Linked DNA regions of Pelodiscus sinensis. The protein of the gene in region 2 interacts with the protein of the main gene of each other region in a pairwise test. Links are inferred from orthologs where the notes say so. Each region holds a gene or a part of one and is shown on either strand. Other genes may lie near its edges.

The links.
Region 1: the proteins of SUFU (region 2) and HDX interact in binary tests that used the Homo sapiens proteins (3 or more experiments, as listed by UniProt). The link is inferred for Pelodiscus sinensis from reciprocal best matches to the Homo sapiens genes SUFU and HDX.
Region 3: the proteins of SUFU (region 2) and GLIS3 interact in binary tests that used the Homo sapiens proteins (3 or more experiments, as listed by UniProt). The link is inferred for Pelodiscus sinensis from reciprocal best matches to the Homo sapiens genes SUFU and GLIS3.

Annotation. Positions count from the first base shown.
Region 1 is NC_134723.1:15,990,642-15,998,832, reverse strand, and holds the start of HDX (highly divergent homeobox), read right to left. Parts: upstream 3,131-8,191; 5' UTR 2,907-3,130; intron 1-2,906.
Region 2 is NC_134718.1:72,981,336-72,989,111, reverse strand, and holds the start of SUFU (suppressor of fused homolog), read left to right. Parts: upstream 1-4,573; 5' UTR 4,574-4,606; coding exon 4,607-4,758; intron 4,759-7,776. UniProt on the Homo sapiens protein: Negative regulator in the hedgehog/smoothened signaling pathway. Down-regulates GLI1-mediated transactivation of target genes. Down-regulates GLI2-mediated transactivation of target genes. Part of a corepressor complex that acts on DNA-bound GLI1.
Region 3 is NC_134716.1:29,312,013-29,319,421, forward strand, and holds the start of GLIS3 (zinc finger protein GLIS3), read left to right. Parts: upstream 1-4,195; 5' UTR 4,196-5,101; intron 5,102-7,409. UniProt on the Homo sapiens protein: Acts both as a repressor and an activator of transcription. Binds to the consensus sequence 5'-GACCACCCAC-3'.

The DNA.
Region 1 (8,191 bases), on a different chromosome or scaffold from region 2:
TCAGAGGCAGCAGCGTGGGATGCCAGGTGAGAGCTTGTCTGCGAGGAGAGTCAGTTTAAAAAACAGTGCCCCTCACGGATCGGCTGCCTGTCACTCCACGCTGTTGCTTCTGATACAGAGACAGCAGCGTGGGGTGACAGTAACCTCTGACCGGGGTGAAATGGGGGGAGGTTGAGCTTCCGGATCCAGTGTCAGCTGGGCTGCCTGGCTCCTAACACACTTTAAATGCAGAGCCACAATGGGGGGGTAGGTCCTTGACCCAGCGCAAACAGGGACTGAGCTGAGCTGCTAGCCAGGTGCTGAAAAATATACTTGGGGGGCGGGGGGGGGGGGGGGGGAGAAATGCATGTAGTCTATAGCATTAACCAATAGGCTTTTTCTTATTGGTTAATCAATTATACTATTACATCTCTACCACAGGAATGGGGATGCAGGATCTGGGCAGAAGGTTGGGTGTAGGTGGTGTTGAAGGTACAAGGTTTTGGCAGGAGATGGGGTGCAGGAATAGATGAGGGTGCAAAGTTTGGATGGGAGATAGGGTGCCAGAGCAGGCTGGGAGTAAGGTGTCTGGGTAAGGGCAGGAGACAAGAGCAAGGGAAGGTGCAGTGTATGGCCAGGAGAGAGGGTGCAGGAGCGACAGGGAGTGGTGGGGTGCAGGAGTAGGCTGGGGATAGGGTGTCTGGCCAGGAGCAGGGGAGAGTGCAGGAGTAGGTTGGGGTGGGATATCCAGCCAGGGTGCAGGAGTAGGCTGGGGATGGGTCTCAGCAGGAGGTGGGGGCATATGAGTGGGCTGCAGGTGTGGGAGTCTTGGCATGAGGGGGGTGGAGGCCACTTACTTGCCTTCACATGCCACACCAGTCCCAGACATGGCCTCCTGCTGCTCCCATTGGTCGGATTCCGGCCAATGGGAGCAATAGGAAAAGCCTCCAGGCAGCACATAGGTGTACTACTGTTCCCCCCAGCTGGGGGAGGGAGAGGGTTTCTTCCCCATGAGCTGAATCACACAGCAAGGCTTTCTCTCCACCTCTTCCCATCCCCAGTGGAAAGCTGACACTAGCAATTCAACCTGGGGGGGAAGGGCAGAGGAGGGGGGGGAAGGCTGGAGTGCCAGCACAGGCTCTCTGCTTTGGGGGGGAAGAAGGAGACTGAGCTCAAGCTGCAGAATGCCCCTCAGACTTAATTGGGTGATCATGGGGGGGGCATGCATTCGCACCTTGCACACACACGTACGGGCCTGTATGTGACAAGGGATGAGTCACTTGATAATGGCCTGTTCCAGTTCATTCCTTCTGCAACACCCTGTAATGGCCCATGTTCGAAGTCAGGATATTGAGCAAGATGGGCCATTGGTCTGATCTAATATGGCCATTCTTACTTTACTTACTACACAAGACAGTGGTATTTGTGTGAAAAGAAAAGGGGCAATTGATACAATAAACTAAGAACCAGCAGAATTAGCAATTCTTGCAAATAATAGAAAGGAACATATGGAAATCTAGAGCTGTAAATATTTTAAGACTCTGAGGGTGTTCCATCAGCAACTAACTGCTAAAAACCACAAAACAGGATCTTCATTGGAAGCACTAAAGAATATTGATTGACATTTAGCTTCTGCAACAAAGTGTTGTTAAAAATAGGTAAGTCAAAATATTTTTAAGTAAACCTTTCCTGACAAAACGTATTTATTTAGGCCTTCATCTTGCAACAATCAGAGTAGATCTATAACTTTTCACATGGGTACACCTACTGAATCAAATGCAGTACTCAGAATTGGTCAGCTCATTTACAGAGAATTTTACCAGCACAAGTAGATTGTGCATATTCTTAACACATTACACCATCAAGAGCCTCATTAAACACGATATGTCTTTGGCTTCTGAAAGGCAGCATAAAGCAATTATCTTTATTGCTATTTGTGTTCTATCCATGACATAGTGAGGCTCCTAAGCCACCACAGGCACGGAGCACCACCCCAAGTCACAGGCCAGGAGACTTGCATGTCACCCACCATATCTCTTCAACAGCAGACACGCAAGGGCTAAAATGTCACAGCATTGTTATCTGCCCAACTTCCTGCCTTCTCTCTTACCCCGCAAGTGAGCACACTGCGCCCTCCTCAACCCCCGTCCTCGCCCTGGAAACAAGAACGAGCTTCGAGCCCCACCCCCATTACTCCCACTGAATGGCCCCACGGACCTTGTACACAGTTTCACCCACTGCCTAGGTTCCCACGTGCTACCAGCAGTGACTGTTTATACAGCAGAGCCAGGAAAGGGGATCCAGAATAGACGCTCCCAACCCCTGCCCACGTGCGCTGCTCCGACACTAGGCGACTGCAGCTAGAAAACAGAGCCCAACAGCTCTCACGAGTAGCCCAGGCCTCACTGCGCACGCGCAAAATTTTCCAATAGTTTGGCCACCCGCGTTGTGCAAGCGCCCATGGCCCAGCCAGGGCACAAAGTAACGTGCGCGTGCCCGGAGCATCAATCAACGCCACGCTCTACGACTGGGAGAAGTCAGAAATCACTCAAACGGACTGAAAATACGCATGCGCAGTCAGTACAGCCGAGCGCAACCTGTCCCACAGCCTCGGAGCATGCGCCAACTATTAGCCCATACGAGCACGCATAGGTCGTGCGCATGCGTACTTCCTTCTCAACGGCAGACGGGTCCAGCCAACGTCTGCCGCAGCAGAACAGCCGAATCGTAGGGCGCATGCGTGCCTGAGTTTGCTAGGCGAGCACCAGCCCAAGCGGCCGCCCTCCCCCACATGTAGGCCCCCAGCCAAGGGGCATCTTCCCTAGCCAGGCCGGGCTGCCGTGCCTGAGCGCCTCGGCGTTTGTTCTCGCTCCCTCTTTCGTGACTCACATACATACCCCGCCCCCCGCGCACAGCGCCGGACTTACCGTGCTCTGTGGGGCGGGCGGAGTTGGTCCGGGGGGCTCCGGATTCAGCCGGTTTCAGCTGGGTCGGTCCCGGCGTCACACAATGAAATCAGCGCCTCCGATCATTAATTCTCATCATGATCGTGACGTCAGCACAGACAGCGGCCAATGGGAGCCTAAGATCAGCGCCGGCCGGGACAGTCCTTGCCCCCGCCCCTCCGGCCCAGGGGGAGTGTTTGGTACAGGGAACAGCCCGCCTGAGGAGGGAGGGGAGAATGTACAGGGAACAGCTGCGCGGAGGGGAGGGGGAGCACCGCCTTCAGGGAACAGCTCCACCCGACTCGGGATGGGAGCGCGAGGCCGGGAAGAGGCGGGGCGTGGAAGGGAGGCATGGAGCAGTCTGCCTCCTCCCCAGCGCACGGGGGCCGCTCTGTGCCCCGCACCAGCCCCGCGGCCTAGCTGCGCACCTGCGGGTGGGAGGGCGGGCAGTGCCTGCCTGCGTCCGCGGCGCCTTCGCTCCTTCCCAGGCCGGGAGCCGCTCCGCCGGGCGGGCAGGGGCTAAGCCTCACCCCTGGCAGGAGCCTCCCCAGGAATTGAAATGGGGGGGGGGTGCAGGGCCAATGAGGGGGAGGCCGTGAGGGCGAAGCTGGGCTATGGCACCATAGTTCACAGAACTGGGGGGTGCTGGGGCAATTCATGGGGGTGTAGAGCCCCATGGGGAGGGGTGTAGGGAAATCCCTGCCCATGAGCGGGGCCGGGCCTCCGGGGGTGCACGGGACCTGCCGCCTAAGCAGAGTCGTTAGCCCTGGGGGCTTGGAACAGGAGCCTGGCAGTGCCAGTGGTGTCTCCCTTGTTAGCCCTCCTCAGCCTGTGCTCAGGGCAGCTATGGCATGCAGGCTCTTCGGGGCTGCGAGTTCCCCATAATAGGTGGGGAGCAGGGATCTGAAATACTTGGCTTTCCCTGTCACCTTATCTTCCACAGGCCAAGGGTGGGCAAAACCCACATGGTTCCCCAGAGTTAGCCCCTGGTCCGCCACCACCATTATATTTGCCTCCATCATTGCAGATACAGGCGATTGTAGTTCTTAGTGGCTGCGGATCACCATTTTCAGCCAATGGGAGCAGTTGGAAGTAGGAATGTGAAGGAGTAGTTGACTAGTTGATTAACCAATAAGCCTAGGCTTATCAATCTAGTCAACTACTCCCATTCTCCCCACCCCCAGTTGCTGCCTCAGCAGGGAGGGCGGGGGAGCCAACTTCAAAGCCGGTTCCCCCTAGCATCAGTGACACAGTGCTGCACTGCCCCCCAGCCCACCCAGCGTGGGGGGAGCAGTGGAAGCTGCAGCAAAGCAAACTCTTGTCACAGCAGTGCCAGCTGCGGACACAGGGCGAGCCAGGCAGCTGCCCAGGGTGCCAACCGATGAGGGATGCCTGCTGGCAGCTGTAAGGGCCTTACAGCTGCCATTAGGAGCCGTGCGCCCAGCTCCCACAGCGCTGGCCCCGTGGTGCTCGCCAGCTGCGCCCTTCCCCCCACAGCTGCAGGGCCCTTCACGGCCTGGCGTGTGTGTGCCAGCAGTGCTGGCTGGTCCGTGACCGGCCTGCACATGTGCCGAGTGCCCCGGGGGCTGAGCGTCAGCGGCCTTGGTCAGCGCGCGCATGCACCATGCACCCCGGGGTATGGGCCCGCGCGCCCTGGGAGGGCGGGCCCCCACCCCATGGGCAGGCCTATGCATGCGCCCGGGGACAGCGCCATGCGCCCGGGCCCAGGGCACCAAAAGGGTTCGGGCCGGCCCTGTGTGGACAGAGGCTGTTCTGGGTATCAGAGTCAGCAGCCTGGGGCAGCAGTCTGCGAGGGGAGCTGATTTTTAAACCGGATCCCCTCGCGGACTATCTCCCGTCTGGCACCCTGCTTGGCGGGATCCCCAGTAGTGGGGCTGGATTGCCTTTGCTGTCGGCCCCGCCCCTGGGGACTATAGTCAACAAACTGCAGAATTCATGCAGTTAGTCCACTAGCCAATCAATCAATAGCTAACATCCCTAGAGAGAAGCAGTGTCCCAGTGTGTGCCACTTTCCGCTACTCCCATTGGCCGGGAATGGTGGTCCAAGGCCAATGAGAGCTGCAATCATCCGTACCTGCAGAGGCACAGGTAATATAGTGACAGTGGCCCACCAGGGCTAACCCTGGGGGAACTGCTGCCATTTTATTGCCCACCCATGCAGTAGGGGTATTTGACCCCTTTCTCTGCTTGTGAGAGACAAGTCTGGAATAATTTGTATTTTTCAGTTGAGACTCAACATCAATGGCGTATCTGCTTTATATGGGCATCAAAGGACTTGTGGGGCTTCTCTTACAACTTTGGTGTTTCTTTGTTTTCAGCCACCCTGGTTTTCCTGGTTCCAACTGTTGTTGAAAGTGTTGTTTCACCATCCCTGAAGTGGCTGTATTTATGTAAACCAGGGGTGGGGGCTTGCTGACTCACAGAAAAATCAGTTGGGGGTCACAGACAAGTGAGAAACAAAACATCCCACTCAGTCATTGCTGTGATTCCTGACTGAGAAGGAGAAAGACACTCCTCACATTCCCCCTTGCACACCAGAGCCTGTGGGGAAGGCCTAGTAGATTTTGTGTACCCCCTTCCACTCCCACCCATGGGGCTGGCGCACTAGCGTCAGCTATTCATTGCTTAGAAGGGAAGTCCTGAGCATTGAGGACACTAAGGCTATGTCTACACTCGCGGCTTCTTGCACAAGTAATATTGCCGTTACACCTATTACTTTTCAAGAAGAACAGCATTGCGCAAGAGGGTTTTTCTTGCACAAGAAGGGGCAGTGTAGACGCTCCTTCTTGCGCAAGAGCCTCTTCTGAAAAAAATGGTGGCTCATTAGGTATGCAAATGGGGCTCGGCGATATTCCACGCTTAGCCTCATTTGTATATTACTTGCACAAGAAGCCAGGAGTGTAGACATAGCCCATGGGTATGTCTACACTGCCACCCTAGTTCGAACTAGGGTGGGTAGTGTAGACATACCTTAAGGCACTCATCTTCCTCTAAGTTCCATTGAAATGAAAGGAACACACTACAGCCAGTAAGGCCATGTGCAGGCATGAGACATCATACCAGCTCTTCTGTTGGCGAGATTGGTGCTAAGGAAATATCTTTGGAATCACTGAATGTCATGAAAATTGTTATTTGCTGTTTATATCAAAGTGGCACCAATCAGAATTAGGGGCTTGTGTAAATTCAGACACGTACAGGCTCCCTACCTCCACGCCTAACATTCAGAGACTCTTATCCTAAAAAGATTTATGTGGGGACTTCACTTTATGCGCATGAGTAGTACTATTAACTTTAATTGGAGTACTTTGGCATAACATTTTGCAGTAATGGGGCCAAAGAAAGCACATCTTATATGAAGGGCAGTTGGAATAAGGATTCAGTAAAGTGCTTCAATATTGTAAGATGCAAGCTTTTGTTACCAGCAAAGGTGCACTGATAAGTGAAATTTTAATGGGGCCTGCTCTGATCTGATGTTAAAGTGCCCCATTAAAGTGCCTCCTCCCCAGAAGGAGGTCTGGCCTGGAAGCCACCATATCTGTCACCGGCGGATTCTCCCTCAGTCCCGTAAAATAACCGAGGACACGTGTCAGATTTTAAAATGTCAAAAAGGTATATTGATATACAACAAATAAGTAACAATAACACAGGACTGTGTATCACTTTAAAGACTAACAAGATGGTTTAATAGGTGATGAGCTTTCGTGGGCCAGACCCACTTCCTCAGATCAAATAGTGGAAGAAAATTGTCACAACCATATATACCAAAGGATACAAATAAAAAAAATGAACACATAGGAAAAGGACAAATCAAATTTCAGAACAGAAGGAGGATGGAGGGGAGGAAGGGGGGGAAGTAAATGTCTGTGAGCTAATGATATTAGAGGTGATAATTGGGGAAGCTATCTTTGTAATGGGTAAGATAATTAGTGTCTTCAAATTTGAATGTAAAGTGTTGAATTTAAGCATGAATGACAGTTCAGAGGATTCTCTTCTAAGTGAAGTTTTAAAAGGTCTTTAAAGCAGGATGCAGGTAATCAAGTCGTTGAGACAATGTCCTTTTTGGTTGAAATGGCAAGAAACTGTTTTTTCTTTGTGATCCTGTCTGATATCTGTTTTGTGGGCATTGATCCAATAACAATAACACAACGCTGAATCAATAACCCAGCCCCTCACCCTCTGAAAATAAAAAGGATAGGAACGATATAACTAGCAACAGAATGTTATACTTGACCATCAAAGGCTGCTGATGTTCAGGACCTTCAACCCTTTTTTTTAGCTAAGGTAGCTGTCAGGGGAGGAGCACTGAGGCGTCCTTCATTAAGTAGGGAGACGCTCGATGTGATGTTAGCCTCTGCTTGCACAGTGGACAGACATGCAGTTTGTGAAAGATAACCGAAGAGCAATTCTAAACACCGTGAGGGCCTTTTCCACAGCTGATGCCGGAGGCTCCATTCGGTCCTGATGATGTAGGGTCGGGTATCAGGTAGCTAAGGCTCATGATGCTGGGCTATCGCCACAGTGTGGACTGAAGCACCCTGAGGGCGGCAGGAGTAGAATCAGGTAGGTTAGACTGGGTCTCCTCTGTGACACGACTCCTTCTTCTCCAAGGTGGTGTGAGAAAACTGCCAACCTGATCTTCTCAGGATTCTAGATTTTATAGAGTTCAAGACGGGAAAATTCCAATGGTTCTCAGTGCAAAGCAGGGCGTGGTGTTGTGTGCAAGACTAGAACCGGGTGCAGACTTTCGTGCTGTGTGCAGCATCATGGCGCAGCATGCACAGCCATGTGCCGAGTGCAGATAGTGATTTTGGCAGCAAGAGCCTCCCAGGTTTCCATCTTGAATTGTGTGTCAGTTCACAAACGCCGTTTTGATTTATATAAATGTAGATGTCACTGTTCAGGGTTAACACTTTGCACATTATTACAAATTTTAAATACACTATACAAAGGCAGATCATACACATTCAGAATTCCTTTTTAGTGAATGAAAGTTTTAAGTACTCAGATATGATGTATGAGAGAAAAATATTCCAGTTTTGTGCAAGCTGTAATTATCTATTAAACAATCTTAAAATACATTTTAAGAATATTTAAAATATATACAAAAAGGGAAAAGCTGAATCTGAAAGTGAGTTCAATTCTGTATGTGTTACACAGGCAAAATTCATTTAATTAATTAAAGTTTTGCTACCAAGGGCTGTAGGCCTGAGCTCATGCTGCTTTTTCTGTGGGGTCTGAAATGAACA
Region 2 (7,776 bases):
CCAGTGGCTGGAGCAGCTCCCTGCATGCTGTGGGCACAGAGGGCCCACTGCAGAAAGGGGCTGTTTTTGTCTGGAGCAGCTCCTGTCCAGGGTGGTCCCTGGTGCCCCACAGGCAGGCTCTGCTCCCGTGGAACAGTCTCTGTTTACGGGGAGCCCAGGCCTGCCACAGACAGGGGCTGGGAACTAGGAGCCAGCAGCAGCTCCAGACCCAGCCTCTCCCCCTAACGTTTAACCAGTGAACTAATTAACTAGGATTTGACATCCTTATACAGGACACAACTAGTTACCTCCCTCCATTCTGAAAACTGACCATTTTTTCCTACTTTTCGTTTCCTATTTTTAACCAGTTACCCGTCCATGAAATGACCTTCCTTCTCCCATAACAGCTTACGTCACTTAAGAACCTTTGAAGAAAGACCTGGTCAAAGGCTTTCTGGAAAACCAAGTGCACTACAGCCACCGGCTCCCTGCGGCTACATGCTTGTTGATGACCCTCAAAAAATGTTAGTGTATTGGTGAAGCACAGAGCCAGTATTTTTGTTCCTCTGCAGGTTTTCTTTACGAGAATATGGCAATGACCATACTAAATCAAAGCAATGATTCATCTAACCAGAAATTCTCTCTATCACTGACTAGTACCAGCTGCTGCAGAGGAAGGTTTAAAAAATCACAGCCTGTAATGAACTATGATGAAATTACCTACTGGCTGCGTCTAGACTGGCATGATTTTCCGGAAATGCTTTTAACAGAAAAGTTTTCCGTTAAAAGCATTTTTGGAACAGAGTGTCTAGATTGGCATGGACGCTTTTCCACAAAAGCACTTTTTGCGGAAAAGCGTCCATGCCAATCTAGACGCGCTTTTCCACAAAAAAGCCCCGATCGCCATTTTCACGATCAGGGCTTTTTTGCGGAAAACAAATCTGAGCTGCCTACACTGGCCCTTTTGCGCAAAAGCTTTGTGCGAAAGGGACTTTTGCCTGAACGGGAGCAGCGTAGTATTTCCACAAGAAGCACTGATTTCTTACAGTAGGAAGTCAGTGCTTTTGCGGAAATTCAAGTGGCCAGTGTAGACAGCTGGCAAGTTTTTCCGGAAAAACGGCTGATTTTCCGGAAAAACTGGCCAGTCTAGACACAGCCACTCTGTGGGAAAGTGTCTCACTAAGCCTATCAGTCATTAATAATTTTTCCCCTAAGGATGAGTGACTATATCCCTAATTTAAATAAAAAACAAGTGAAGCCTTGTTTTGCAGGCTAATGTGGTTTATGGATGTTTTCATTACCCATCTTAATGACTAACCTTGGAATAACTTAAAAAACAACAAATAGTCTGGTAGCACTTTAAAGACTAACAAAACATGTAGATGGTATCATGAGCTTTCCTGGATACAGCCCACCCAGGAAAGCTCATAATACCATCCACATGTTTTGTTAGTCTTTAAAGTGCTACCAGACTATCTGTTGTTTTTTAAGTTTATCCTGTAACAGCTAACTTGGATACCCCTGAAGCTCTTTAACTTGGAATGCTGCTAAACTCTACCTCAGTGATACCTTGTAGTAATAATTTCCATGGATTAATAAATAGTTCATGAGGGAGGAGGGGAAATCTTTCAATTTTCAATTTGTTGTCTTTCAAATTAAGTGCTTCTCTGTATGTCTCTGTTAGGAGAGAGAGGAAATGACAGTGGTTAATCTCCCTTTTGTATATAATTATTATTATTTGATTTATTATTCATCCATCATATCCCTGGTAAGTAGCCCAAGTTTTTTCATCTCTCTCTATATTTAATCAAAAAACAGGACGCTGTAGCACTTTAAAGACTAACAAGATGGTTTATTAAGTGATGAGCTTTCGTGGGCCAGACCCACGTCCTCAGATCAAATAGTGGAAGAAAATTGATCTGAGGAAGTGGGTCTGGCCCACGAAAGCTCATCACTTATTAAACCATCTTGTTAGTCTTTAAAGTGCTACACAGTCCTGTTTTTTGTTTCAGCTGCACCGGACTAACACGGCTACATTTCTACTACTATATTTAATCAGTTTTCCATCACTCTTTGAGCCCCATCAATTTCTTCTATGGTCTTTGAGGTGACTGACTGAATAATCCATGTGATGGTGTATTTTCTTTTTGTAATGCCATTCTAATATTTTCAATCCAGTAGAACTTCAGGATTAAAACCTCAGAGATATGTACTGACCAGCCAACCACACCACCTCCTTTGGAACTAGAAGTATGCACTCAGACCACGCCAGAGACCAAAATAAAAAGAAGCCAATACAGTTCAGTGTGTTAAATGTAAACTACTAAAGGGAACTATTTCTGGGCTTGTTTCCTTTAAATTAAGATGGCCATAAGTAGCATTTTTCTTCTATATAGTAGAGTTTCAGAGCTGTATTAAGTCAAAGTTCAGTTGTAAACTTTTGAAAGTATAATCATAATATTTTATTCAGAGTTACAAACATTTCAGAGTTTAGCTTTTAGGTGCTACTGTACTAATATTGATTCATTCTTTATCCATCCTATTAACATTCTGATTGTTTGCTGCTGGCACTGAGCAGAAAGTTATAGTCATCTGTGCAAAATGAGAGTCCTTTTTGTGAGTGCTGCTTTCAGTTAATTGTAATCAGTGTGCATGAAGAGTGTTTAAGCACTGGGTCATTGGATCCACTCTGTCTCATTCACACAGTGAGCACTTCTGTGCTGACCTTTCCATTTATCCCAGTAAAGCTAATCTCCACTCAGTTATTTATCTTAATAAATGTAATTTGTAGTGTTGCTGTAGACTAAGTTCCCTGTAAGTTGTGCAGCAGTGCAGCAGGCTATTTAGGACCTCACAGATGGGAAGAAGCATCCCTGCGGTGTTGAAGCTACTGTAGCCAAGGAGAGGGAGGGGCCCCTTGCAGCTGAGGAGAGGTGCCTTTTACCTCGCCCTGAGCTGCTGCAGTGAGAGAGGGCTGAGGGGAATTCTGTTTTCCCTGCTATAATGCTGAGGCAGCCTGCATCCTGTATCCCTTATTCCTGGCTCCATCCTAGACCTTTCACCCCCAGCTAGAACGCTCACCCCCTCTGCCACAGTCCTGACCCCCTTAGCGCCCCCCCCCCCCCGTCCACATGTCACCTCCATAGTGGTGCACGTAACAACATTCATTCTACACAGGCATGTAAAACATTAGAGGGAACACAGGCTGCAGCTGTGTTGGTCCCAGGAGATGTGAAAGTTGGGGGGGGGGCGGAATGGGGGTGAGGTAATATCTTTGTATTGAAGTTGAATGAACTTCTGTTAGTGAAGAGACAAGCCTTTGAAGCTACATAGACAGAGGAACTGACAGTCATGTTGGGCCCTTGGGAAAGGTGAGGGGGGCCGGCTGCTTACTCCTGAAAGGGGTGCGGCCTTAGGTGGAAAGGGTGGGGCTGAGGGCAGCCAGCTCTCAGCACCTCCCCCAGAGGGCACTACGTTGGACCCTTTCCCCGGCCCTAAGAGCTGCCCGGAACATGCCATGCAGGGCTCTGGCGGCAATTGAAAAGGCCTGGGGCTCCAAGCGCCACTTCTGCAGTAGCAGAGGTGGCTGAGAGCCCCGGGCACTGGGGTAATTGCCCCCTTTGCCCCACCCTGTCAGTGAGCCTGTACAGAGAGCTCCTCTGCAGGTCTGAGTGTCTTGGCTGACTAGATTGTGACATTTTCAGTGGTTACACATTTACATGGGGGGGCAGGCAGCTCCGTGGGAGTCAGTGCACGGAAACGGCTTAAAAGCCAGCTCCCTGTGCGGATCAGCTCCCTCCTACCCCTGCCGCCTCTGAGACAGAGGCAGCAGGGGGGAGGAGGCGCTGGCTGCTATTCCCCTCCCACCCCCCTCCAGATCTGGAACACTATGAATCAGCTGATTTGTGGCATTCCAGCTCTGGGAGGGGGCAGGAGGAGCTGGGGTGTAGCACGGATCAGGGGAGTCGCGTGCTCCGAAAGCGCAGGAGGGACGGGGAGGAGTTGGAAGTGTGGGGCTCCGGTGTGCTGGCGCGGGGGGGGGGGGGAGGAGTTGGAAGTGTGGGGCTCCGGTGTGCTGGCGCGGGGGGGGGGGGGGAGGAGAGCAGACGGGGTCTGTGGGCTGCAGGTGAGGTCCCAGCGGGCTGCACGTTGCCCACCACTGGCCCAGGACTGCACGAAGCATCCAAGGGCCCTATTAACAGCACAGGGCCTTCTCCCTGCCCCATAGCTTCCCCCTTCCTCTGCTCACCCCTACAGGCCCCCCAGCTCCCGCCCCTGCCCTCTGCCCCCCTATAGGGCCCGTTCTCCTCTGCATGGGACTTCTCCACGGGGCTCCCCCAGCGCCCCCTCCCCCTCCTCCGCGGGCTGCTGCAGCCGCAGGCCGCCGCCGCCAGGGGGCGCGCGCGCGCCTCTCCGCCGGGCCGGGCGCCTCCTGCGCCGCGATTGGCGGAGCCGCCCGCCCGTCACGGCGCGGGCAGCCGGGCCCGCCTCCTGGGCAGCCGCCGGCGGACGGAGCCGCCTGGGCCGGGTGCGCGCGGAGCCGGAGCAGCCGCCTGGGCCCGCGGGCCGCTTCCGCCCCTCCCCCCCCCGCAGCCGCACAGCGCCCCCCCCCCCGGAGCGCGGGCCCATGGAGGGCGCGAGGCCTGGCGGGGCCCCCCCCGGGCCCGGCTCCTTCCCCGCGCTCTTCCCCCCGGGGCTGCACGGCATCTACGGCGCGTGCCGCCGCCTCTACCCCGAGCAGCCCAACCCGCTGCAGGTCACCGCCATCCTCAAGTACTGGTGAGCGGGGGGGGGAGTGAGGGGGGGTGGGCTGGGGGGGGACTCCCGGGGGGGGGAGTGAGGGGGGGTGGGCTGAGGGGGGGCTCCCAGGGGGGGAGTGATGGGGGGTGGGCTGAGGGGGGGCTTCCTGGGGGGGAGTGATGAGGGGGGGCTCCCTGTGGTGGGTGAGCTATGGGGGGGCTCCCTGGGGGGACGGGCTAAGGGGCATCTCTCTGAGGGGGGCTCCCTGTGGTGGGTGAGCTATGGGGGGGCTTCCTGGGGGGACGGGCTAAGGGGCATCTCTCTGAGGGGGGCTCCCTGTGGTGGGTGAGCTATGGGGGGGCTCCCTGGGGGGACGGGCTAAGGGGCGTCTCTCTGAGGGGGGCTCCCTGTGGTGGGTGAGCTATGGGGGGGCTCCCTGGGGGGACGGGCTAAGGGGCGTCTCTCTGAGGGGGGCTCCCTGTGGTGGGTGAGCTATGGGGGGGCTCCCTGGGGGGACGGGCTAAGGGGCGTCTCTCTGAGGGGGGCTCCCTGTGGTGGGTGAGCTATGGGGGGGCTCCCTGGGGGGACGGGCTAAGGGGCGTCTCTCTGAGGGGGGCTCCCTGTGGTGGGTGAGCTATGGGGGGGCTCCCTGGGGGGACGGGCTAAGGGGCGTCTCTCTGAGGGGGGCTCCCTGTGGTGGGTGAGCTATGGGGGGGCTTCCTGGGGGGACGGGCTAAGGGGCATCTCTCTGAGGGGGGCTCCCTGTGGTGGGTGAGCTATGGGGGGGGCTCCCTGGGGGGACGGGCTAAGGGGCATCTCTCTGAGGGGGGCTCCCTGTGGTGGGTGAGCTATGGGGGGGCTCCCTGGGGGGACGGGCTAAGGGGCGTCTCTCTGAGGGGGGCTCCCTGTGAGGCAGGCGATCTAAGGGAGGGTCCCTGTGGGGGGGCTTCCTGGTGAGGTAGGCTAAGGAGGGGCTCCCTGTGTGGGGCAGGCTAAGGGCTCTTGTGTGGGGCTCCCTGTGGCATTCGCCTGGACCGGGAGGGGCTCCCTGAGTGGGGAGGGTTGACTCCATCTGTGGGTAAGGATGGGGGGGTCCTGTGGGGGCAGGTACATTGTTCTGAGCGGAATCAATTTGGCAGATCTACTCTTGCTCTTTATTTGTATCTGCCCTCCTTGGGAGCCACTAGAGCCCAGTCCGGTCTGTTTTCTGTGGATAGCTGGAGGTCCGCAGGGTGAAACTCAGCATTGGGGTATCCTGGCCAGTGCAGGATTAGGGGTTGTTTTTTTTTTTTTTTTTTTTTTTTACCCCACAAAAGCTTTTCTGGTGCTTTGGAAAACTTTAGTTAAGGCTCTGCATGCTTTGGTGTTTTCCCTTTAATTTCATCAGGTCTGCTTCTGGTTAGGCAGAAGTAGAAAAGTAGTTGTTCCTGGGCTGGTCACTGATGAATCCAGGCATCCTTGCAAAGATGCACTGCTCTTGTGAGAATCTAGACCAGTGCTTTTTGGATGAGGAAGGCGGATTCTTCTGGTTTGTTGGCTGCTAATACAAATCTGGGATCTAGACCTAATTGCTAAATATCTAGGGAAGCTTGAAAAGTAAATGGTTGAATTTTGTCTGAGTGCAGGCTAACACTGCACAGATTTGGTACCAAAGTGGGTTGATCAAATCGCTACAGCAATAGAGATTTAGATGTCTGCCTTTAGGCATTCAAGTGCTTTCTCTTCTGTCAACAGTTTATGTCCATGTCAACTGGAATGAGACAAGATTTGTGTGATATGAAGGTAGAATTGGGTCTATAATGATTATGATAAAGTCCTCTTTGGATTTTAGGAATAAATAGCTCTGAGTATCTCCTACGGTGCTAATCGGTTGAGAGATGTACACTCATGTCCTAGATCCTGAAAAAGGCGCTAGTGGTAGGGATAATACTGTTTTTCTGTGGTCAGATCTTAGGCCTTAGCTCTAATGTTTATCACCATTGTTACCTCCTGTGCATTTTAATTGGTGGTCATACCAGTGGCAGCATGTCTAGCACAGTCAGTATATACTGCAGCTGCTACCCAGAGGAAATTTTAGCAACAGGTCTAGTGTTGACATAGTGTTATAAAGTCTATCAGAGTCTTTAAACATTTGTAAAATATTTGCTGAATTCATTGTTGTTCACACTTTCCTGTGTGGTTGTCTTCTGTCCTCATTCTTCCGGGCTGCAAGCAATTAGAATGGTTTAGATCAGTGATTGTCAGAATGAGTCTCGTGAGCTGCAAGTGGCTCTCTAATGTGCACGTGCTATTAAAGCACTGTGTGATTTAATTATTAACCAGCCTAAGTTATTAACCAATCAGAATGCTTTTGCGATGTTGTTAACCAATTGTAGTTGATAAAATTTGGTCATTTTGTTGTGTGACTTGTACTATAATAAATGTTATTTATTTATGAGAGACAGTTCACAGTACTGTGGCACTTTTGGGTAATGTTGATTGATAATTTGGCTCCTGAACCACTGAGTTCCAGAGTATCACTAGTTTAGATTCAAAGAGGAAATAGCTGAACAGAGCTCAGTCCCTCAGGGATAATAATACAACTCTAATCCATTTTTAATTATACGTAACCAGTCTCTTAAAAAAAAAAAAGTTGTGATTTACAGGATATTGCAGTGTTAAAAGGGTTCTCTGGCTTGCAAAACAAGGCAAGTATCTATGTAAACATGCAGCAAAACCAAGTAAACTGCATACCTTTTGAGGGGGAAAAAAACTGAAGAATGAAAAATATTTCATGTATCACATGTATTCTTTTAACATGTTTCATTTGTATATTTTTGGAAATTAATTCAGAAAGCTTTTGGAGCTTTTGGAAGCACTCCTGTGTCTATGTGTGTGGAAACTTCTTTGTAATCTTCAGATTATTATATTTAACCACCTTTCTTAATAAGAGCTCCTGAAGTAAAATTCCTTCATGACAAAAAATTGCAAGCAATAGACCAGCATTGTTATATTCCTTACTTTGATAGAAAAGTTTTCAAAATTTGTGGAATTGAGCTGTTTCATCCTTGTTCTTTC
Region 3 (7,409 bases), on a different chromosome or scaffold from region 2:
CACCCAGTGACAGCATCTAATTATAATTTCCAGCATGAGGCACCTAACACAAAGATTTTTCTGGATCTAAAAGTCATAACTTGAGAGCATGACCAGGCCCTAAAGCTTGAAGATCTAATTTTCAACAGCCACACAGCATGATTCTGTCTTAGTGAGGCAACTAAATGAGGTCATGGATGTATAATAGATTCTATTTTCATTTCCATTAAAGCAGTCTTATTAGATGTGTTCTCAACAAGGGAGAAAAAATGATGCTTTGGAGAAAATAGATCTGATTTGCTAGACAAGAGCTTAATTTTCTGAAAAGCTCCATTAAGCCATCTTAGGCTCCCAATAAGCGTGTGTAATATCTAATAAACTTAATTATTCAAATAGCATGGCTTCTCCTATAGTAATGTCACATACACTATGTATTGGCATTAAACTGGGCCTGACTGACTATATGGTTGGCTGTTCAGCAAAGCATTCTGGATGGCTGTGTCTACACTGGCAATTTATTCCGGAAAATCAGCCGCTTTTCCAGAAAAACTTGCCAGCTGTCTACACTGGCCGCTTGAATTTCCGGAAAAGCACTGACGATCTAATGTAAAATCATCAGTGCTTTTACGGAAAAACTATGCTGCTCCCGTTCGGGCAAAAGTCTTTTTCCGGAAAACTGTTCCAGAAAAGGGCCAGTGTAGACAGCACAGTAGTGTTTTCCGCAAAATAGCCCCGATCGCGAAAATGATGATCGGGGCTTTTTTGCGGAAAAGCACGTCTAGATTGGCCACGGATGCTTTTCTGGAAAAAGTGCTTTTCCAGAAAAGCGTCCTGCCAATCTAGACGCGCTTTTCCGAAAATGCTTTTAACGGAAAACTTTTCCGTTAAAAGCATTTCCGGAAAATCATGCCAGTGTAGACGTAGCCGATATGTTTACCTGTCGATGTGCTAACATGTCTAATCTGGTAATTTTTAACTAATTTAAATGGCTTGCATAATATATAGGAAATTTAGGCCAAACTTTGGATGTGATGTGGAATAGTAACACATTCCATCTTGCTTCAAATAAGATCGCAGTCTCTTTGGGGCAGGCACCATCTCTTCGTATGTCTTTATACCGTGTGTATCACAATGAGGCCTCAATCCTTGATTATGCATTTGTGTGCTACCATAGTGCAAGTAGTAAATCATAGTGTTTGAAAACCCACTTACAGTAGAGCTAATAGGCTTCATGTCAGCATCTCTGAAAATTGGGGCCTGTTGAATCATTGGTTTAAAACAGTGATGCTTTATTTTCATTACATGGAGACACTAAAACAGACAGCTTTTCAGGGAAGTCAGATTTAGTTCTTGACAGTTGTCAGTGTTTTTTAAGCTGATGCTCTGTCACTGAGGTTTTACACCATACACCTTATTGCTCAGAATGTTTGTTCTATTGCTTTTGTAGATTTAAGTCATAAATGTACAGTGCTCAGACCTTATCTGGCAAATATCCTTATTAATAAAAGTTAGTTCATTGTATAAATCTATAATAAACACATTTGCACTGGCTCTAATGTAAATGCAGGAGAAGATCTCATTAATTCTTAGTGATGGAATCTAATAATATAACTTAATGGAAAATTCTGGCATATGGTATCAATAAAAATATAGTCAACACAGTAGATTACTGTGAAAGTGTTTTTTTTTGTTTTGTTTTGTTTTGTTTTGTTTTTTAAGGCCAACAAGTAAGTTCTCCTTACATAAGCTATAAATGTTCCTTGAATTGTTTGTGATTTTAATGTGGTTTTGAAGTGAAGCATATCTTACAAATACTTTCTGCATAAAACCACAAATATACTACATCGTGGCTACTCATAGATTTAATCCATTCACTGCTGAAACATCCATACACATAGCAATAAATAGACTGGATAACAATGTAAATGTATGGGAACTATTGATGCATTAATATCTTGAGTTATTTGCATACACCAAGGAAACTTTAAAGAAAATAGCATGGAAAAGTACATCCTCCTTTTGTATATTTCCAGACTTCCTTTAATATACAGAAGTAAAATGAGGCCAGGCTAATAGCAAAAGAGAGTTGGCTCTAATGAGGACTCACTAGCCATAGGCTCAAGACTGGATGAAGGAAACTGTGTCCTACGCACAGCATGAAATAAGGATGGAGCTTCTATTGGGGACCTCTTCTTATGCTAAGACTCTGCCTCACATTTGCAATGATCTCTCCTCCCTCCCAGACAGACAGGGGCAAATACCTGCTGCTTCCCCTTCCAGGAGCAACCAGGTGAGGAACAGGGCAGCTCTTTGCCATTCAGAGGGGCAGGGGCAACAGCAGTTGGGGGCATACTTGCTTAAGTCAGTGAGCTGGGCCTGCTTGTAGTCTTCTGTTACCTACAACATTCTGTGTTTGGGTAGTGTAGGCAGTGCTTCTAGAGGACTGGATCTTGATAACAGTCACTGAGATAATATGGGGTAATTCACTTCTCTCCGAATTACTGTTTCATGCTCTCAGCATACTTAAACAGGATTACATTGGTTACACAATAGTCACATTTTCTTCACAATCATGAGGATTTTTTTTTAATTTCAACAGAAACAGAAGTTCTGTTATTATGTGATCCAAGGAGCTGAGTTCCAACATGCAGGTGTGTTCCATCCCTGGAGGTGTGCTTTACCCTTCCCTGCTCAGACAACTCACCTCTGTGATAGGTAAAATGTCAGAAGAAAAAATGGTATTTTTCATTTTTTAAACCTTATTTTTCACATTGCCATATAATACTCTCTATATGTAATAGTCCTTTCCTGGGTGTCGGTGAAGAGTAAAAAATATTGTGAGACCAGTCATGAAAATCTAACAGAATTGACCAAAAGTCTGTAAATAGAGGAGGTTTAAATATCAGTACTCCAGTGATAATATAAGGTGATGTGTGCTACTACTTGTATGGACTGCACTCGAGACACTTGCAGTAAAAAGTATGCATGACTTCCTGTGGGGCAAGCCCCAGAAGAAGACAGACACTGACTCAGTGTAAATTAATTATTTCAGATGAAAGACTATCCAGATACTAATGTGTGTTAACATCACCCACCCCAATTCCATCTCCTAAGAGAATGAGTGGCAGAGTAACCCAAAGGGAAGTGAACTTGACCTTTCTGTGCACAACTATTCTTGGTTATCAGGAGAGTCAGTCTCCCCTCATATAGTCACAGCCGGTGGGAGTTGCTAAAGGACTCTTCCATAGTTATTAAAAGATGGAAAAGGGGGCTAGATTCAGGAGTGCTGGCAAAAGAGACTGAACTTTCTTTCCTAGTCTCACTTGCATCAAAGTTATAAACAGGTAATATCCTCATCAGGTGATATCCTTATTCACTAACTCCAGTGGCTACATTGTTTTTCTTAAAACTTCTGTTCTAAAGACAGAAGTTTGGAATGTTAGAAGTATCCCTGATGGAGCAGTGGGCAATGTGCTGCTGGTGATAAATTTAGTGGGCATAGTGCATAGGAAGAGGTCACAGGCACATTGCAAATTATCACATGGCTTTACAGTTCTTTGCACATTAGTGGGCTTCATTCATCCCTGTAGGTGCAGAATTTACAACCTCCACTGTCTGCGGAGGCAGCTGCATACACAACACCACAGCTACTCTTTCCTGGGGATTCAATTTACAGCAGATCCCATCACTGAGAATACATGATGGTTCTGCTCTGATGTACTGCTCCCAAACTCCCAGCAAGCTGATTTTATGCTTCTCTAAGGAATGACCCATACTGGAATAAAGACCATTTTTAAAAAAAATTAGCTAGCAGACAAAGATCAGACAAATTTAACAGGTGTTAGCAGCGGTATTCATGCTGATGTGTTAGTATGCCTCTTATCCTGACATAGGCAGGTCCTAATACAGACTGTTACAACACCTCTCCCAGGTGTGTTTCATCCACTTCCTAAACTGTGCTTGCCTGATTTGCCTTGCACAGTACCAGCCTCCTGGTTCCATTGGCTAACCCTAGGGTGAATCAAATACTGTGTAATTGTGGGTATGCAGTATAATAGGAAGAGGATTTGATCCAGTACCTTGGTTCCATTGAGAATCTGAACCAGAATCTAATTTTACAGCTGGATTTAGATTTTTAATGGATTGAACCATAATCCTGGGCAAATACCCCTAAACTCTTTGGGGCAGGGTGGTCTGAAATCCAGCCAGGGTATTAATCTGGCCCTTTCGGTGGGATGTACTGGGCTTTCGATGGTCTCTCTGTGTTTCCAGAATCAGGAAGCGGCACAGGCAGATTCTATGGAAACTGATCCAGCCTTATTCACACCAAATCAAGTACAACTATGAAGAATGCCCAGGAAGGCAGGGAAGTGTCACCAGCCTGTCAGTCGCCTAGTTTCTCTTTCCCAACCTCCCTCTCTGTGTGTGAGTCAGAGTGAGTGCTGAGGGGGAGAGAGACACTCTGCCTTTGAATTAGCCAACTGGCTGACCAGGAGTTACCCGCCCCTTTGCCCCCTCCCTCCCTCGGCTCTGGCACTCGGGAGACTGCTGGCTGGCGGCCCTTAAGCATTCACCCCCCCTCCCCCGCCTCCTTCCCTGCACTGCAGTCCCTCTGTCCACACAGCACTGATACAACCAGCGGAGAGCACGGGCAGCCCAATTCCTGCGCTGGCAGCAGCCTGGACCCCCCTCCTCCCCAAACAAGTCTGGAGAGACAACACTTCCCTCCTCCCAGGAACAATATGACAGCAGTGAGCTAGCAAGGTCGCCAAACAAGTCAACTTCATCTTCCTCAGCCTCTCCTACGGGCACTGACTGCGGGACACGGCAGTGAGAGGCGAGCCCTCGAGTTTGGTCAACCCAGATTTCCCAAGAGAAAAGAGAAAGCTCCTCTCCCCAGCCCTCGCTTGGCATGTCTCTTCCCGAGCCCTGATGGAAACTGTTCCTGCTCAAGTGGAGGACAGCCTCTCTCAAGTGTGTTTGAAGGGAACCAGAGTTGCTTTTCTTTCTTCAGCTCTCTCCTTGCAAGTGCTGGCTGTCATTCTTGCCTAGAGGAGAGAGGGGCTCTGCCTGGAGAAGGAATATGCACCTTGGGCTTTGTTGTGGAAAACCTGGTTACCTGGTAAGTGGATGCTGCCATAGGAACTTTGCTTGCAGGCGCACGCACACAAAAGTAAAAGCTGATCTAACCATCAAACCAAGCTAAAGAGCCTCACGTTAGCCAAAACACCACGGCGGCAGCAGCAGCAGCAATCCTGTGGAGTCTAAACTGTTTTGTATACACACTCTCCCCCTCCCCTGCTTCGGGGGAAATGTATTTAAGAGGGGGAAGGTAGAGTGCGCTTTACTTGATCAGCTGAGCGGGGAACAGAGTCCAACTTCCCACAGGGATTCTGAAATGTAGCCCATGGCTGTATGTATAGAACGACAAGGTGTAACAACCAAAGGGGCTGTGCTTTAATCTGACCACGGCTGGGTGTGAGATTTACTTGCAGGAGGGGCGAGGGGTTAATTGACAAGAGGTGAGGCTCGTGCGATCTTACGGACAACGCAAAAGCTTGGTAGTTTGTCAACGACTGTAGTAACTAGTGTAAACTTTCGACCTAAGGGGACTTAAGAGAAGAATAGGAAAGGGGTGAATGAATGACGCGAGGAATGCTGTCTCATAAGTACTGTGGACGTATATGCAGGCAATTCAGTCTTCATTATTTGTTGTTTATTTTAAGTGTAGCCGTGATAGAGCTTCATTGCTTTATACAGAGAGCGGGCGTGTGTAAATGTTGGAGTTGGTGTATGTACACACACCCAGCAATTATATGTAAGACCCTTCAACGCTCTGTTTTTGTCAGCTCTCCAGCAAACACATGCTTTTACATTTTGTGCGTGTCTAGTGTCAGATACCGTTCACATGTCTCACTCCCGCTGTACGGGACTTGATCCTGGTTCTCGGCTCCAGTCCTGTGAATTATCCGGTGTTTTTCTGCGAGCCGCCTTTGGAAACCATGAGTCTGCAGCTCTTTTCTCAGGCTTTCCACGGTGTGTTTGTTTGTTTGTTTGAAATCCTGTGGTGAGGTTACTTCGAAGTTACTCACTGTCTGCTCTTGAGCTGGAGAAAGAGCGATGTCTGGAAAGTTGGAACAGGTATTCTCTGACTCCGGGAGATTTGTCATCCTGCTGATGATTAAGCCGAGACTTAATTCCTCGAGGAGGAAATGAAGGACTTTGCAAAGGAAATGACCGTGGGATGCTGTCCCCTGAGTGTGTGTTGCAGCCAGAAAGTAGAGTAAATCGCTTCGTTGAAAGCCGGGCTGGCTGCAGCGAGGCACATGTCTCCTCTTTCCCCTTAGGCAGCTGACTTTTTTTCTCTCTGCTCTCCTGAACAGCCGTATTCACAGCAGCGCGGAGAGGAGAGGAGGGCTCGCAGCACCTCGGGTCTGCGTAGCCGTGGGCAGCGGCGTGAAATCCACCTGAGCGGTCCAGTCCGTTTCCCCTCCTTTCCGCCAGCCTCAGAGGCAAGTTGAAGGCTGAGCCCTGGTAGCTAGTTCCCGGGCGCAGCAGCCAGCGGTGCTAAGGAGCCGCATCCCTGCTTGGAAAGTCTCGGGAGGGGAGAGCTGAGAATAGTGTCCCGGCACCCAGCCAGGGAAGCTGAGGGAAGAGCCCTTCTCCTCCAGCAGGGGGCAGTGGAATGGGAGAAGCAGGTGAGCTGGGAGCTCCAATGGAGTCCAGCTTGAGGAGTGCTCCCACTCCAGGAGAGAGGAGTGGAAGAGGGTAAGGGTCTCACTGCAGCTAGGTTTGGTGCTGGTATTTCAGCTGCAAATCACAGACAAGGGGTGAGGAGCCCCACCCGGCACACCATTGCGCCAATGATTTTAGGAAAGGGGCTGCAGGTGGTCAAAATAAAGGGATGAGTTTCAGTGGGAGCTTTTTTTTCCGAAAGCCCTCCTGAAATAGTGTTAAAATCTTACAAATCTTCTCCCACCTCTCCTTAGTTCTGCCAAGTTTGGTCCCTTCCACCTGCAGATACTTTGTGGTGTCTCTCCAGAGGATAAAAATCTCCCCCCCTGGAAAAACAAAACAAAACAACAGCCCTGCATTTTCTGTAGTACAAATGCAGCCACCAGTGTCACTCACACCAAAGACAGACCACACAGCTATTTAATGCTCACTAAAGTGACAACTTAATCTTCAGCCTTTTTGTGTCACTTGGTAATTACAATTTAGCAAAGTTTAACAAATAGAAATTTCAGTTCCAGGCTTCCACTGGATTTTTTTCTTTCTTCTTCTCCGAGAAACCAAGATACTTTCTGACCCCGTTGGTATTGTTAACTCTTTAATTCAAAGCTTTGGAAAGAGAAGGTGTTGGAGAGTGTATTTCCACAGCTTGATTTTTTCTTGGCATTTCTCACCTTTCATTAGCCACAGAGGGCGAT